2 linked regions of the Pelodiscus sinensis genome follow. The protein of the gene in region 1 purifies or fractionates together with the protein of each later gene. This does not show direct contact. Links are inferred from orthologs where the notes say so. Each region holds a gene or a part of one and is shown on either strand. Other genes may lie near its edges.

Region 1 (7,668 bases):
GGTACTTTATTTTATGCACACGCAGCATGGCGGCATAGCCGTGATCCCTGAAGATCCAGCTTTGTGGGGCAAGTTCCCCCTCCCTCCAGGGCTCACGTTGATGAACTGACACAAGACACCTAGGTGAGGGACAGTTAAAGGGACTCAATCGGGTTAAATTTAGCTGCAGGTTTCGATGGCCTGAAAGATTGTTTCAAAATTAATATAAAGAGCTAATGAAATGTTTAAAATTCAATTAAAATTATTTCTATGAGAACCAAGCTGTGCAGCACAAGGCTGGCACCAGAAAAATCTCAAAGAAAACTGGTCAAAAACTCGCTGTGAACCAGAAGAGCACTTGGCTAGATTGCATCAATATTCAAACAAGCCGGATGGTATCCCTTGAGGGCCAAGGATGATCCCAGGGCCAGAGAGCCCCAGTGGCTGGGAGCTGGGCAGCAGGACAGCTAGCAGCTGGGAGCCCTGGGAGCCCAGTGGGGCTGGCAGCAGCCTGGCAAGTGAGGGGGGACTGTGGCAACCCAATAGCCTGGCAGAGGAGCCAAGGTTGAGGCAGCAGCAGCCTACCTGAGGAGCTACGGTGTAGCAACACAGCAGCCCAGTAGAGGAGCCAGTATCGCCACATCGTAGCAATCCGGCAGGAGGGCTGGGGCTGCGGCAGCCCGGCAGGGGTTATGGGGCTGCGGCAGCCCGGCAGGGGTTATGGGGTTGCGGCAGCCCGGCAGGGGTTATGGGGCTGCGGCAGCCCGGCAGGGGTTATGGGGCTGCGGCAGCCCGGCAGGGGTTATGGGGCTGCGGCAGCCCGGCAGGCAGCCTGCCCAGGGCCAGTGGTAGGGTGACCGGCCGGGGCCGTAACCTGAGCCAGCAGTGGGTTGGGGGGCAGTGGCAGGGAACCTCCCCAAGTCTTGCAAATTCCCTCATGCAGGACCAGTCCAGTTCTGAGGGTGCTGGACCAGGGAAGTCCAACCTTTACCAACAAGGAGCACAAAGAATTAGGAGATTGGCACCACCCCTGAAAGCAAGTTTAGCTGCACCACTGACTTCTTACTCAGTGGAAGAATGGCTATGCATAAAGCCACAAAACACTAAGGCTGTGCAAAACTGGGCTCAACATTCTTAGCATTCATTCAGTGTTAGTGATCTGAGATGTTATGACATAGTTGAGAAAACTTTGTAGTACTTTTCCTTAGTGTGACAGTGTCCCTTTAAGGATTCACAGATTCTGCTCCTGGCTAAAAATTACCCACATCTTATTATTTGTTACCTTCTTTCCCCACCACAAATTGTTTGTTTCATCCACGCTTTATGCCAGGGGTGGGGAACCTCAGGCCTGTGGGCCCTTGCCTAGATCCGGCCCCCAGCTTGCCTAGTTCTGGCCCCCGATGCTCAGCATTGGGACATAGTAGGTGCTGAGCCTACTCCTAACAGGGCTGGAGCACACAAAATCTACTAGCCTGGGCCCCTTTAGGCTCTGGTGTGCATGGGGAATGTGGAGAATGTCTTTCTCCTTCTCAGTGAGGGGTTTCTGACTTTGCTTTTCACTTGTGCGGGGCCTCTGACTGATTTTTCTGGGGGTCAGTGGTCCCCGACCCAAAAAAGGTTCCCCAAAAAAGGTTCCCTGCTTTATGCCTTGGCTTTTAGGTTATAAGCTTTGTGGGGTGGAGTCTGCCATGTTTTATATACAGCATCTAGCACAACGGAGCTCAGGTTGGTTAGTCTCTGGGCCCTAGGGCAATATAAAGCAAGCCACCCGCACCCATGCCTACAACAGAAATCAGTTCATCCACTGAAATGCCGGGGTGAAGCATGGTGGCTGTTTAACAGCCATGTAAGTAAATGTAGGACAAATGAGGGACAAAGTATGTTGTATCTAAATAAAGCTGCAGGGAAATTTGTGCAGGGTGATCACCTAAGCAGCAATTCATCCCCAACAGAGTTAGTGGCCAGGCAGCCCAAAACAAACACACATGGCTGGTAACTTTCACCTCTCTTCCAGAGGACATAGCCCTCTGACCAGCACCTGCCACCCTTGCACTGGGCCCTGGATAACTGACAAGAGAGTCACCCGACACCCAATGAATCTCCCTTTAAGTCCCCCAAACTCAAATATGGACCAAGGTCAACCTGGCAGCCTCAAGCCAAGAGGGTCAAAGACCAGCTGTTGTGAACAGAGCGTCCTAGTCGGCTGAGAACGCCTATTTCAGATGAATGCCACGCTCCGATAGCACTCAGAAATAATAATGCTTCCTAACCCAGCAACTTTTAGAGGCCCCCATTCACACCATCATCATACAGCCCACGTTATGTCCAAGATTATGTTTATTTACCACAGTTTGGCAGGTCTCCACCCCACATTCACTGGGTCTCAAGCACTTGGATCTCAACTTTGAATGTTTTAGTAGATGGGCCCTCTCAGCTGCTGGTCACTCAGAGCCCCCTGGAGGGAGGCAGGGCGCAGCCCGCAGCACCCCTGAAATCCCAGCCCCCCAGTAACCTGCAGGGCAATCAAGGGCCTGACAGGAGAGCCACCCCAGCCGCACCTCTACCAGCAGCTCCCTCAAACGCTGCCAGAGGGGTGGAGCCCCTGGGGCCCTGCTGGCCGAGAATACAAGTGACGGGGTGTCTCAAGACCGAGGCCCTGCTAGATACAGTCCTGTCCTGCCACAGGGGTCCCCACGTGATGGAAGCCCCCCCCACCGATCAGCCCCACACCAGGCCTGACCCCCCATCTGATCTTACATCCCGAGCCCTTCGCCCCTCCAGCCCCCCCCCCCGGGCTAGGATCCTCCCCTTCCCCCGCCAGAGAGCCCCGGGGCCGCTCCCCAGCCCCTTACTCTCCAGCAGCTCGTCCAGCTCCCGGTCCGGGCCCGCCTGCCCGGCCCCCGCCGCCGCCGCCGCCATCTTCGCTGCCGCCTCCCGTCCGGTCCTGCGCGGGGCGGAGCTGGCCGGCCCGGAGCCTCCTGGGGGCAGGCCCGGCCGCCGCCGCCAGCTTAGGGGAGGGAGCGTCCCTCCTCCCCCCGCTGGGCGTTGCGCGGCCCGGCACCTCCCCTGCCGGCCCGGTACGCGCCTCCCCCAGGGCCTGGCCCCCCCACCAGGGCCCCTTACCCCTCCGAGCCTGGCACCTTTACCTGTCTGCCCTGCTCCCCTTCCAGGACCTGCCTTACCCCTCCGAGCCTGGCACCTTTACCTGTCTGCCCTGCTCCCCTTCCAGGACCTGCCTTACCCCTCCGTGCCTGGCACCTTTACCTGTCTGCCCTGCTCCCCTTCCAGGACCTGCCTTACCCCTCCGAGCCTGGCACCTTTACCTGTCTGCCCTGCTCCCCTTCCAGGACCTGTCTTACCCCTCCGAGCCTGGCACCTTTACCTGTCTGCCCTGCTCCCCTTCCAGGACCTGCCTTACCCCTTCGAGCCTGGCACCTTTACCTGTCTGCCCTGCTCCCCTTCCAGGACCTGCCTTACCCCTCCGAGCCTGGCACCTTTACCTGTCTGCCCCGCCCCCCTTCCAGGACCTGCCTTACCCCTCCGAGCCTGGCACCTTTACCTGTCTGCCCTGCTCCCCTTCCAGGACCTGCCTTACCCCTCCGAGCCTGGCACCTTTACCTGTCTGCCCTGCTCCCCTTCCAGGACCTGCCTTACCCCTCCGAGCCTGGCACCTTTACCTGTCTGCCCTGCTCCCCTTCCAGGACCTGCCTTACCCCTCCGAGCCTGGCACCTTTACCTGTCTGCCCTGCTCCCCTTCCAGGACCTGCCTTACCCCTTCGAGTCTGGCACCTTTACCTGTCTCCCCCGCCCCTCTTCCAGGACCTGCCTTACCCCTTTGAGCCTGGCACCTTTACCTGTCTGCCCCGCCCCCCTTCCAGGACCTGCCTTACCCCTTTGAGCCTGGCACCTTTACCTGTCTGCCCTGCTCCCCTTCCAGGACCTGTCTTACCGCTTCGAGCCTGGCACCTTTACCTGTCTCTCCTGCCCCCCTTCCAGGACCTGCCTTACCCCTTCGAGCCTGGCACCTTTACCTGTCTCTCTCTCCCCCGCTCCCCTTCCAGGACCTGCCTTACCCCTTCGAGCCTGGCACCTTTACCTGTCTCTCCCCCCCCTTCCAGGACCTGCCTTACCCCTTCGAGCCTGGCACCGTTACCTGCCACCCCCCCCCTTAGAATCTGGCATCCCTTACCTGGGTCCTCCCACTCCCCCTAGGAGCTGCCTTACCCCTTAGAGCCTGGCACCGCTTACCCGCCTCTACCAGGGGCTGGCACTTCCGGACCTACCTTACCATTTTAGAGCCTGGCACCCCTTGTCTGGCTCCCTCCTTTCTGCCTCCCTAGGGACTGGCAGCCTCCATCCTAGGGCCAGACAGCTACCTGTCCCCCTCTCCCTGCTGCACAGGCCCTGGCTTCCTCTTGCCTGCCACCCACCCTCCTTAGAGCCTGGTACCCATCACCTGTTCCTGCCTCCGGGGCCTGGCACCCCTGTTGGGTGTTGGCACCTTCACTCATCTCCATTAGGGCCTGGCATTAGCCACCTGCCTCCACCAAGTTTGGCAGCCTGCCCTTGCCAGGGTTGGCACCATAGGGACTATCACCCACCCCTTAGAGATTGACACCCCCACCAGACCTGGCATCCCACACCCTTTCCTTCCCCTCTTGCTTGGATCAGTCACACAGCCTCCCCCACCATCAAGGGGGCAACTAGAATTTTGCTAAAGAGGGTGCCCTACCATTATGCCAGCCAGTTCTAGTCAGGGGGTGCTGTTCTGCCTGCCCTCCCACCCTTGTTGTGTTCCTGCTTGATATTTGAGTTTTCATGAGAAGTTATACAGCAAAGAAAAGCTAGTGTGAAACTCAAATCCTTGCAAGCTGCATGGAAGCTTTTTTTAAAGACCCCATTATAGAGGCTTAAATTCAATACATAACCCAATTTAAAAAATATAGTAAAGTGCTACTGTGGCTAAGCAATAAAGTCAAAGTAGAAATTAAATTCTACTGAGAAAAACAGAAAAGAATATAAACTCTGGCAAGTGAAGTGTAAAAATATAACTAGGAAAGATAAAAAAGAATATGAAGAACAGTTAGCCAAAGACTCAGAAAGTTTAACATTAAAAAAAAAATCAGAAGTAGGAAGCCTGCTAAACAATCAATGGGGTCACTCAAGGTGGGTAAAGCATAGTGGAGAAATTAAATTAAGAAATCATTTAATTTTTCCACTGCTGAGAATACGATGGACATTCCCAAACCTGAGCCATTCTTTTTAGATGTCAAATCTAAGGAATAGTCTGAGATTGAGGTGTCATTAGAGGAAGTTTTGGAACAAACTGATAAACATTAATAAGTCACCAGCACCAGATGGTATCACCCAAGAGTTCGGAAGTAACTCAAATGTGAAATTGAACTACTAACCGGTATGTAACCTGTTTTTAAAATCAACTTCTGTACTTCAGGTTGCCTCATGTTAAAAAAGGTACAGAAAAGGGCAACAGAAATGATGAGGGGGATGGAGATTAACGAGACTTGGTTACGTTTACACTGCACACCTGAAAATTGTACAGCTGAGCTACTGCAACCACGTTGTTGTAAAGCACACAGTGCAGCCCTCTGTGACCAGGAAAGAGCCCACGGCCCTTAGCTGTCTTTTCCAACTCCAAAGGTCCATGCCATGTCTACACTGCACTTTTGCTGAAAAACACCCCCTGCACAACAAAAGTTTGAACGATTAAATGCGCCAGAGTGGACAGCACTTCATTGGCAAGGAAATGCTCTCCCACCGACAAAGCCACGACCCCTCATTTGGGGGAGAGTGTATTTTGTTGCCTGGAGAGCTCTCTCCCAGGAACAAAGAGCAGCTACACTGCGGTTTTCACAATGGCACAGCTGCAGTGTCACAGCCATGCTGTTGTAAAATACACAGTGTAGGCACAGTCTAAGGGGAGATATGGTAGAAGTCTATAAAATCATGACTGGTGTGGAGAAAGTAAATAAGGAAGTGTTAATTACTCTTTCATGTACATGCACAGGTTGACATGAACAAACAACAATATGTGACATATAACCTCCACCATGCAGAACACAACACTATACACAGCTTCAAAAACAATTCTAAGGTTATAATCAAAGAGGCTGACAAAGGGGGTGCTATAGTCATCAAGAACAGGACAGATTACAAACAGGAGGCTGCAAGAAAACTCATCAACACCACATTCTACAGGCCTCTTTCCTCTGATCCCACTGAAGAATACTCAGAAAAACCCTACACCATCTGCTCATGAAACTTGGGATGAAATCTATACAAACCCCTTGCTAAATCTCTAACCAGGAGTTTTCTATCTGCTACCCAAGATCCATAAACCTGGAAATCCCGGATGTCCTATCATCTCAGGCTTCAGCACACTTACAGCAGAATTATCTGGTTATGTTGACTCTCTCCTCAGACTCTATGCTATCAGCACTCCTAGCTACCTTCAAGACATCACTGACTTGCTAAGGAAACTACAGAACATCAGTAATCTTCCTGAAAACACCATCCTGGCCACCATGGATATAGAAGCTCTTTACTCCAACTTTCCACATGATGATTATTACTAGCTGTCAGGAACACTATCCCTGATGATGCTACTGCACACCTGGTTACTGTGCACTGTGACTTTGTCCTCACCCACAACTATTTCCAATTTGGGACCATTTATATCTTCAAGTTGACGACATCTTTGTTATATGGAACCACAGGACGAAACCCTTGAAGAATTCCACAGGGATTTCAACAACTTCCATACCACTATCAACCTTAGCCCGGACCAGTTCACACAAGAGATCCATTTCCTTGACACTACAGTACAATGGCCACATTTCCACCACCCTACATCAGAAACCTAATGACCATTATTCTTAGCTACATACCTCTAGCTTCCATCCAGGACACGTTACACAATCGTTTACAGACAGGCTTTAAGATACAACCGGATTTGCTCCTATCTGACAGACAGAGACAAACACCTACAGGATCTCTATCAGGCATTCTTAAAACTTAAATACTCACCTGGGTAAGTGAAAAAACAACCTGATAGAGCCAGATGAGTACCCAGGCATCTGTTTCTTCAAGATAGGCCCAACAAGCAAAATAACAGAACACCACTGATCATCACCTACAGCCCCCAATGTAAACCTCTCCAACACATCATTAAGAATTTACAACCTATCCTGGAAAATGATCCCTCACTGTCACAGGCCTTTGGAGACAGGCCAATCCTTGCCTACAGACAACCCCCTAATGCAGCGGTTCACAACCTTTTCTAGATGGGGATCCACTTTGACAATTCAGGAAGAATTGACCCAAGTCAATTAAAAAACGGGTAGGATGAGGGGCAGAGCCACCTGGGGAGACACTTGGAGACTCTTTTGAAATGTAACGGCGACCCATATTTGGGTCACAACCCATAGGTTGGGAAACCCTGCCCTAACCTGAAGCAAATCCTTTCCAGCAACTATGCATCACCCCTCAAACATACTCACCCAGGTACCTACCCCTGCCATAAACTCCATTGCCAACTCTGTCCACGCATCTATACAAGCGGCATCATCACCGGACCTAAACCACATAAGCCACAATATCAGAGGCTCATACAACTGCACATCCACTAATGCAATATATACCATCAAGTGCCTGCAATGCCTTTCTGCCATG
Region 2 (7,038 bases), on another chromosome or scaffold:
AAACCAGGTCAGTGCTAATCTCAGCTCTTCCTCGACCCTCTGGGACTTCAAGCGCTGCTCGCTTGGGATCTCTGTGCCTCAGCGTCCTCCACAAACAAGGGGATTCATACTGACTTGCATATCTCGGTAGGGGTAGGGAATCATGCAGGATCATTCTTTAGCTTTGAGATCCCCACAGGGCTAAAGGCAGGCAGGGGGTTAGAGCTTGGATGGACGGACAGACAGACATCTCCAGGGCTGGACAGACAGGCAATGCCCTCTCCCCAGACCTTTAGCAGCTCCAGGACCATCTGCTCCTCATCTTCCTGCATCTCGCGGATGGCGAGCTGGCTAGGATCCACCGTGGGCATGGCGCCTGGTGGGAGCAAGATGACCTGCAAGGCAGGAAACAAGGCTGAATGCCGAGGGCTTTTCCTCCCCCTCACAGGTCTGGTGAGGCTCCGAGCAGCTCATTCCCCCAGCACTGCCTGCTCCAGCTCTGCGCCCAGCCCGGTGCCCCCCATCACTAGACTAGAGTCACTCAGCCACGGCAGCCCAGAGAGCAGCTGGGCAGGTCCAGGGGCTGGACCCACGTGGTGTTCTCAGGCAGCAGCACAGCCAGTGCCCCCCAGAGAGGGCAAGCCCCAATCCCCGCCCCCTGGGCCAGCCAGCCCCTGCCCTACGGCCAGATTGGAGCCAGCATCCCCTAGAGGAGGAAAGGGCCCATGACCAAGCTGGCGAGGGGGGTGGGGCCACAGAGACAAGGTGGGGAAGAAACAGTCTCAACACTTTGCCTTGGGGCAGCCTCCTCCCTTCACCCCCATCCAAGAAATGGATGAACCCCTTCACAGAGATCCACCCCTCCGCCCATGAGAGGGAATGGGACTGCCCGCCCCCTGCAACCACTGACCCTTCCCCCATTAAAGGGAATGGGACTGCCCGCCCCCTGCAACCACTGACCCTTCCCCCATTAAAGGGAATGGGACTGCCCGCCCCCTGCAACCTCTGACCCTTCCCCCATTAAAGGGAATGGGACTGCCCGCCCCCTGCAACCACTGACCCTTCCCCCATTAAAGGGAACGGGACTGCCCGCCCCCTGCAACCACTGACCCTTCCCCCATTAAAGGGAACGGGACTGCCCGCCCCCTGCAACCTCTGACCCTTCCCCCATTAAAGGGAATGGGACTGCCCGCCCCCTGCAACCTCTGACCCTTCCCCCATTAAAGGGAATGGGACTGCCCGCCCCCTGCAACCTCTGACCCTTCCCCCATTAAAGGGAACGGGACTGCCCGCCCCCTGCAACCACTGACCCTTCCCCCATTAAAGGGAACGGGACTGCCCGCCCCCTGCAACCACTGACCCTTCCCCCATTAAAGGGAACGGGACTGCCCGCCCCCTGCAACCACTGACCCTTCCCCCATTAAAGGGAATGGGACTGCCCGCCCCCCTGCAACCACTGACCCTTCCCCCATTAAAGGGAATGGGACTGCCCGCCCCCTGCAACCACTGACCCTTCCCCCATTAAAGGGAACGGGACTGCCCGCCCCCTGCAACCACTGACCCTTCCCCCATTAAAGGGAATGGGACTGCCCGCCCCCCTGCAACCACTGACCCTTCCCCCATTAAAGGGAATGGGACTGCCCGCCCCCCTGCAACCTCTGTCCCTTCCCCCATTAAAGGGAATGGGACTGCCCGCCCCCTGCAACCATTGACCCTTCCCCCATTGAAGGGAATGGGACTGCCCGCCCCCTGCAACCTCTGTCCCTTCCCCCATTAAAGGGAATGGGACTGCCCGCCCCCCTGCAACCACTGACCCTTCCCCCATTAAAGGGAATGGGACTGCCCGCCCCCTGCAACCACTGACCCTTCCCCCATTAAAGGGAACGGGACTGCCCGCCCCCTGCAACCACTGACCCTTCCCCCATTAAAGGGAATGGGACTGCCCGCCCCCCTGCAACCACTGACCCTTCCCCCATTAAAGGGAATGGGACTGCCCGCCCCCCTGCAACCTCTGTCCCTTCCCCCATTAAAGGGAATGGGACTGCCCGCCCCCTGCAACCATTGACCCTTCCCCCATTGAAGGGAATGGGACTGCCCGCCCCCTGCAACCTCTGTCCCTTCCCCCATTAAAGGGAATGGGACTGCCCGCCCCCCTGCAACCACTGACCCTTCCCCCATTAAAGGGAATGGGACTGCCCGCCCCCCTGCAACCTCTGTCCCTTCCCCCATTAAAGGGAATGGGACTGCCCGCCCCCTGCAACCACTGACCCTTCCCCCATTAAAGGGAATGGGACTGCCCGCCCCCCTGCAACCACTGACCCTTCCCCCATTAAAGGGAATGGGACTGCCCGCCCCCCTGCAACCACTGACCCTTCCCCCATTAAAGGGAATGGGACTGCCCGCCCCCTGCAACCACTGACCCTTCCCCCATTAAAGGGAATGGGACTGCCCGCCCCCCTGCAACCTCTGTCCCTTCCCCCATTAAAGGGAATGGGACTGCCCGCCCCCTGCAACCACTGACCCTTCCCCCATTAAAGGGAATGGGACTGCCCGCCCCCTGCAACCTCTGACCCTTCCCCCATTAAAGGGAATGGGACTGCCCGCCCCCTGCAACCTCTGACCCTTCCCCCATTAAAGGGAATGGGACTGCCCGCCCCCTGCAACCTCTGACCCTTCCCCCATTAAAGGGAATGGGACTGCCAGCCCCCTGCAACCACTGACCCTTCCCCCATTAAAGGGAACGGGACTGCCCGCCCCCTGCAACCTCTGACCCTTCCCCCATTAAAGGGAATGGGACTGCCCGCCTCTCCCCCCGTAATCATCCCCTCCCTTCAAGAACAGAATGGTACAATCCTCCTCCCCAGAGAATGCAACCCCCGCAGCACAGGCGGTGGAACGCCCTGAGCCCTAAACACCCTGTGGCACCTCCCACAACCCACGCCACCCCCTCCCGGTGCGCAATGGACCCGCTCCAAGCTAGCCCAGCCTCTCACCCTAGCCCAGCGCGCAGCCGGCGATAGCCTCGCTCCTTCTGCCCAGTACGCATGCGCCGCAGCTTTTCCCCTCCTCCCCCCCACTTTCCTCCGCCCGCCCAGGTTTTACTTAGTAACCGTTGTTAAGGGCACAACTGCGGCCTAGCGGGCCCGCATAGCGCCTGCCTCGCAGTGCGGGGGCGCGAGGGCAGTGGGGCGCGTGCGGGCACGGGGGCTCTCCCAGCAGGCACCGCCCCATGGGCTCCTACAGCTGATCTTGCGCTGGCCAGGCCTGCGCTGAGGAGAGGCTGGGAGGCCCCATCTGCTCCCTGCAGCCCTGCCCTGGGAGCGGCCTGGAATTAGCGAGGGTGTTGTGTAAAACCCCCAGGAATACCCCCCCCCCGCAACTGCATCGTCACACGGGCCAGCCCGGGCACCCTGCGGGGGCGCAGGCCAGGCTGAGCTGGGACCAGTGATAACAGGGAGGGGAGCCGAGCCAGACCCAGGGACCGCGGAGCGAGGGGCCGAGCCGGACCCGGGGACCCCCGAGAGAGGGGCCGGACCCGGGAACCCCCGAGAGAGGGGCCGGACCCGGGGACCCCCGAGAGAGGGGCCGGACCCGGGGACCCCCGAGAGAGGGGCCGAGCCAGACCCGGGGACCCCCGAGAGAGGGGCCGAGCCGGACCCGGGGACCCCCGAGAGAGGGGCCGAGCCGGACCCGGGGACCCCCGAGAGAGGGGCCGGACCCGGGGACCCCCGAGAGAGGGGCCGAGCCAGACCCGGGGACCCCCGAGAGAGGGGCCGGAACCGGGAACCCCCGAGAGAGGGGCCAAGCGAGACCCAGGGACCCCCGAGAGAGGGGCCGAGCCAGACCCGGGGACCCCCGAGAGAGGGGCCGGAACCGGGAACCCCCGAGAGAGGGGCCGAGCGAGACCCAGGGACCCCCGAGAGAGGGGCCGAGCCGGACCCGGGGACCCCCGAGAGAGGGGCCGAGCCGGACCCGGGGACCCCCGAGAGAGGGGCCGAGCCGGACCCCCGAGAGAGGGGCCAAGCGAGACCCAGGGACCCCCGAGGGGCCAAGCGAGACCCAGGGACCCCCGAGAGAGGGGCCGAGCGAGACCCAGGGACCCCCGAGAGAGGGGCCGAGCCGGACCCGGGGACCCCCGAGAGAGGGGCCGAGCGAGACCCAGGGACCCCCGAGAGAGGGGCCGAGCGGGACCCGGGGACCCCCGAGAGAGGGGCCGAGCGAGACCCGGGGACCCCTGAGAGAGGGGCCGAGCCGGACCCGGGGACCCCCGAGAGAGGGGCCGAGCCAGACCCGGGGACCCCCGAGAGAGGGGCCGAGCCAGACCCGGGGACCCCCGAGAGAGGGGCCGAGCCAGACCCAGTGAGTGCTGAGCTAGACCCAGGGACCGCCGAGAGAGGGGCCGAGCCAGACCCAAGGACTGCTGAGTGAGGGGCTGAGCCAGACTTGGTGAGTGCCAAGACGCACCCGGTGAGCGCCGAGAGAGGGGCCGGGCTGGACCCAGGGATCAGGTCGAGCCAGACCTGCTACCCATTGAGTAAGGGGGCAAGCTGAGCTGGACCCTAAGGGACCTGCTGACCAACGAGCGAGATGGTGAGTCTGGACCCAGTAGGCCCAGCCAGTTCCAGCAATGAATAAGTAATATAAGCCAGACCAATGTGTGAGCCAAGCCAGCTGACGGATTGAGGGGGCAAGCTGAACCAGACCCAGTGAGCAAGCTGAGCTAGACCAGTGAGCAAGGGGCCAGGCTAAGCTGGACCCAGTGACCTGATGGGCAGGCCACATCCAACACAGTGCAGGGTATGCAGGGGAGGTAAAAAAATCCCTTGCTGAGCCACACCCCTCTCTCTGCAGCACAGGCCTGCTAGTGTCATCCTTGAACACTGGGCTCAGCACCCACAGATAGTTGCTTTGCTGAGGCAAGGCCCTGCAGCCCCCAGCATAAAGGCTATCTGATGAACACTCAGGTTTGGCGGGGCCCTGCATACCTCCTCCCACCCAGCAGCTCTAGCGCAGGAACCCAGCACCATATCTGAGCAGATGCTAGTGTGTCTCATGCACACACAGCTGCCAAGTTGAACCTGCAGGCACCCACCAGCCTCAGCCAGGCTTAGTGCAGGAGCTGCAGCTGTGGTGGCAGCAGGAGGGCACTATCTACCAATTAGGCCCAGTTCCCATGCAGCCCTTTGTGGTGTTCAGCCACCACAAGATGGGTGTAGGCGTGAGGCCACATCCCCGTCTGTAGTAAGACAGGATAGTGATACAGCAAATCCAGGATTTACTGGTGTGGCATTCTGACAGGTCTCCTGACCCGTTAGTGATAAATGTTCAGCTCCATGCATTTTCATATGCTCCCTCAGTATATTATGCCTGCTCTGTGCTGGTAGCTAGCATAATAGACTTTACGAGAGCCCCCAAAGACCACACACTTAGATAAGATACAAAGGCACCTGAGTCAGGTTTATTGTTGAACGAAGTACATTAATAATTGTTGGTAGCCAGATGGCCTCTGAGCCCCCTACATATTTGTACCCAGGACAATGGACACAGCCAATCAATAGTATGGATTTCACTATTTCCCCCAGGCCAGCTAAAGAATTAAGTGAGGTACCCCCACATTTATAGTCAGAAATGAACAATTTATGATCCACGCCATACATATCATCTTACGCATTAATGACGTGTTTGGTACCTCTTCTTATACTTTCCTCCAAAGCATTCATTACCCGTTCTGCTTTCACTCCTGTTGTTTCAAACTATTTTATTGTGTACTCAGGTGGGTGTCCCTGTATTGTCCTGGTGGCATGTATTTACATACTTCATGTGCTTTTATCAGTGCTAGCAGTTCTAGGGCGGAGAGACACTGATTTGCGAGCAAACATCTGCTTCTGACATGGACTGTCTGTTACTCATAATAAAACTTTTGCTTACTTTGGTTCAAGCACCCAGCTCTTCAGGCTCTTTCTTTCTCCTACACCCTTCATGCACTGAACAAACCAAACAGAGGCACTTTCAAATCAGTCTTTTATTTGCCTTGTAGGTTGAAGGGTTGTGCCAAGTGCCCTAATACAGAAGGGGCTCTAGAAGAGACAGGGGTGCTCTGCCTACACAGGAGGCCATCTGGGCGTTGGAGGAATAGGCCAGGGCTTTGGGGAGTAGGTATTACCTGGTTACCAGGACAAAGATACAGAAGGTGGCAACTGCTCTCATGCCAGTCTTCTGTCTGCCAGTGCCATGGGAACCCCTCTCCTATAGGAACCACTTGTGAAGAGGCAAGCACCAACTGCTCCACCCACGGGTTGACTGCAGAGCTCCTACCTCTTATTCATGCATTTAGCCTCCCGGAATGCTATGCTCAGCCCACAGAAGGGAAAATGCTCCAATCAGGGAGGGACTTGCTCAGGCTCACCCAGCAGAACCCAAGAGACCTAGCTCCCAAACCTGCATACACTTTAACCACTAGACCCCATAGTGTCAGGGATGGAACCCAGGGGTCCTGACTCCCAGCCCACCCATCCACTCTAACCCCTAGAACCAAGTCTCCTCCCAGAGTTGAGGATAGAACCCAGGAGTCTGCAGCCAGGATAGCTAGGATGATGCAGAACCAGGCTACCTGCACAAGTCTCACAGCTTGCGGCCCCCACTGGTCATCATGTGGGGATATCCCACTATTTTCATATTGCACAGGCAAGACAATCGGGGAACAAGAGCTCTAGCAGATCCTGCAATGCCAACCCACTGCACACACCCCGGCTGGTGTCTGTAGCCAGGGGCTCAGAAGGTGTGAACCAGCTGCACACTGGGCACTGTCTGCACAATCTGGATAGAGGGCAGTTCCTGGGGGGGTGGTACTGGGTTTGGCAGCAGCTGCACCATCTGGGTACTGGTGGCAGAGGGCTGCCCGCCAGCTGACACCCCATGCGCTGTGCCACTGCCAGAGCCCATGTTTTCCAGCACTTGCAGAGTCTGCTCACCAGGCGCACTGCGGATGATGAAGAGCTTCTGCCCTGTTGCCGGTGCCAGGGCTCCTACTCCATTGTCTGGGGGCAGTTCCTGCAGGTT

The links. The genes of interacting proteins can lie anywhere in the genome.
Region 2: the proteins of PEX19 (region 1) and NAT14 purify together in Homo sapiens (co-immunoprecipitation; 3 studies listed by BioGRID and IntAct, counting the BioPlex papers as one, with this or other methods). This does not show direct contact. The link is inferred for Pelodiscus sinensis from reciprocal best matches to the Homo sapiens genes PEX19 and NAT14.

Annotation. Positions count from the first base shown.
Region 1 is NC_134734.1:14,636,700-14,644,367, forward strand, and holds the start of PEX19 (peroxisomal biogenesis factor 19), read right to left. Parts: upstream 3,003-7,668; 5' UTR 2,899-3,002; coding exon 2,832-2,898; intron 1-2,831. UniProt on the Homo sapiens protein: Necessary for early peroxisomal biogenesis. Acts both as a cytosolic chaperone and as an import receptor for peroxisomal membrane proteins (PMPs).
Region 2 is NC_134743.1:2,721,479-2,728,516, reverse strand, and holds the start of NAT14 (putative N-acetyltransferase 14), read right to left. Parts: upstream 3,006-7,038; 5' UTR 2,973-3,005; intron 910-2,972; exon of another isoform or gene 890-909; intron 375-889; 5' UTR 351-374; coding exon 270-350; intron 1-269. Other genes in the region: ZNF628 (zinc finger protein 628), read right to left, coding at 6,751-7,038. UniProt on the Homo sapiens protein: Probable acetyltransferase. May act as a transcription factor that regulates the expression of coproporphyrinogen oxidase by binding to a promoter regulatory element.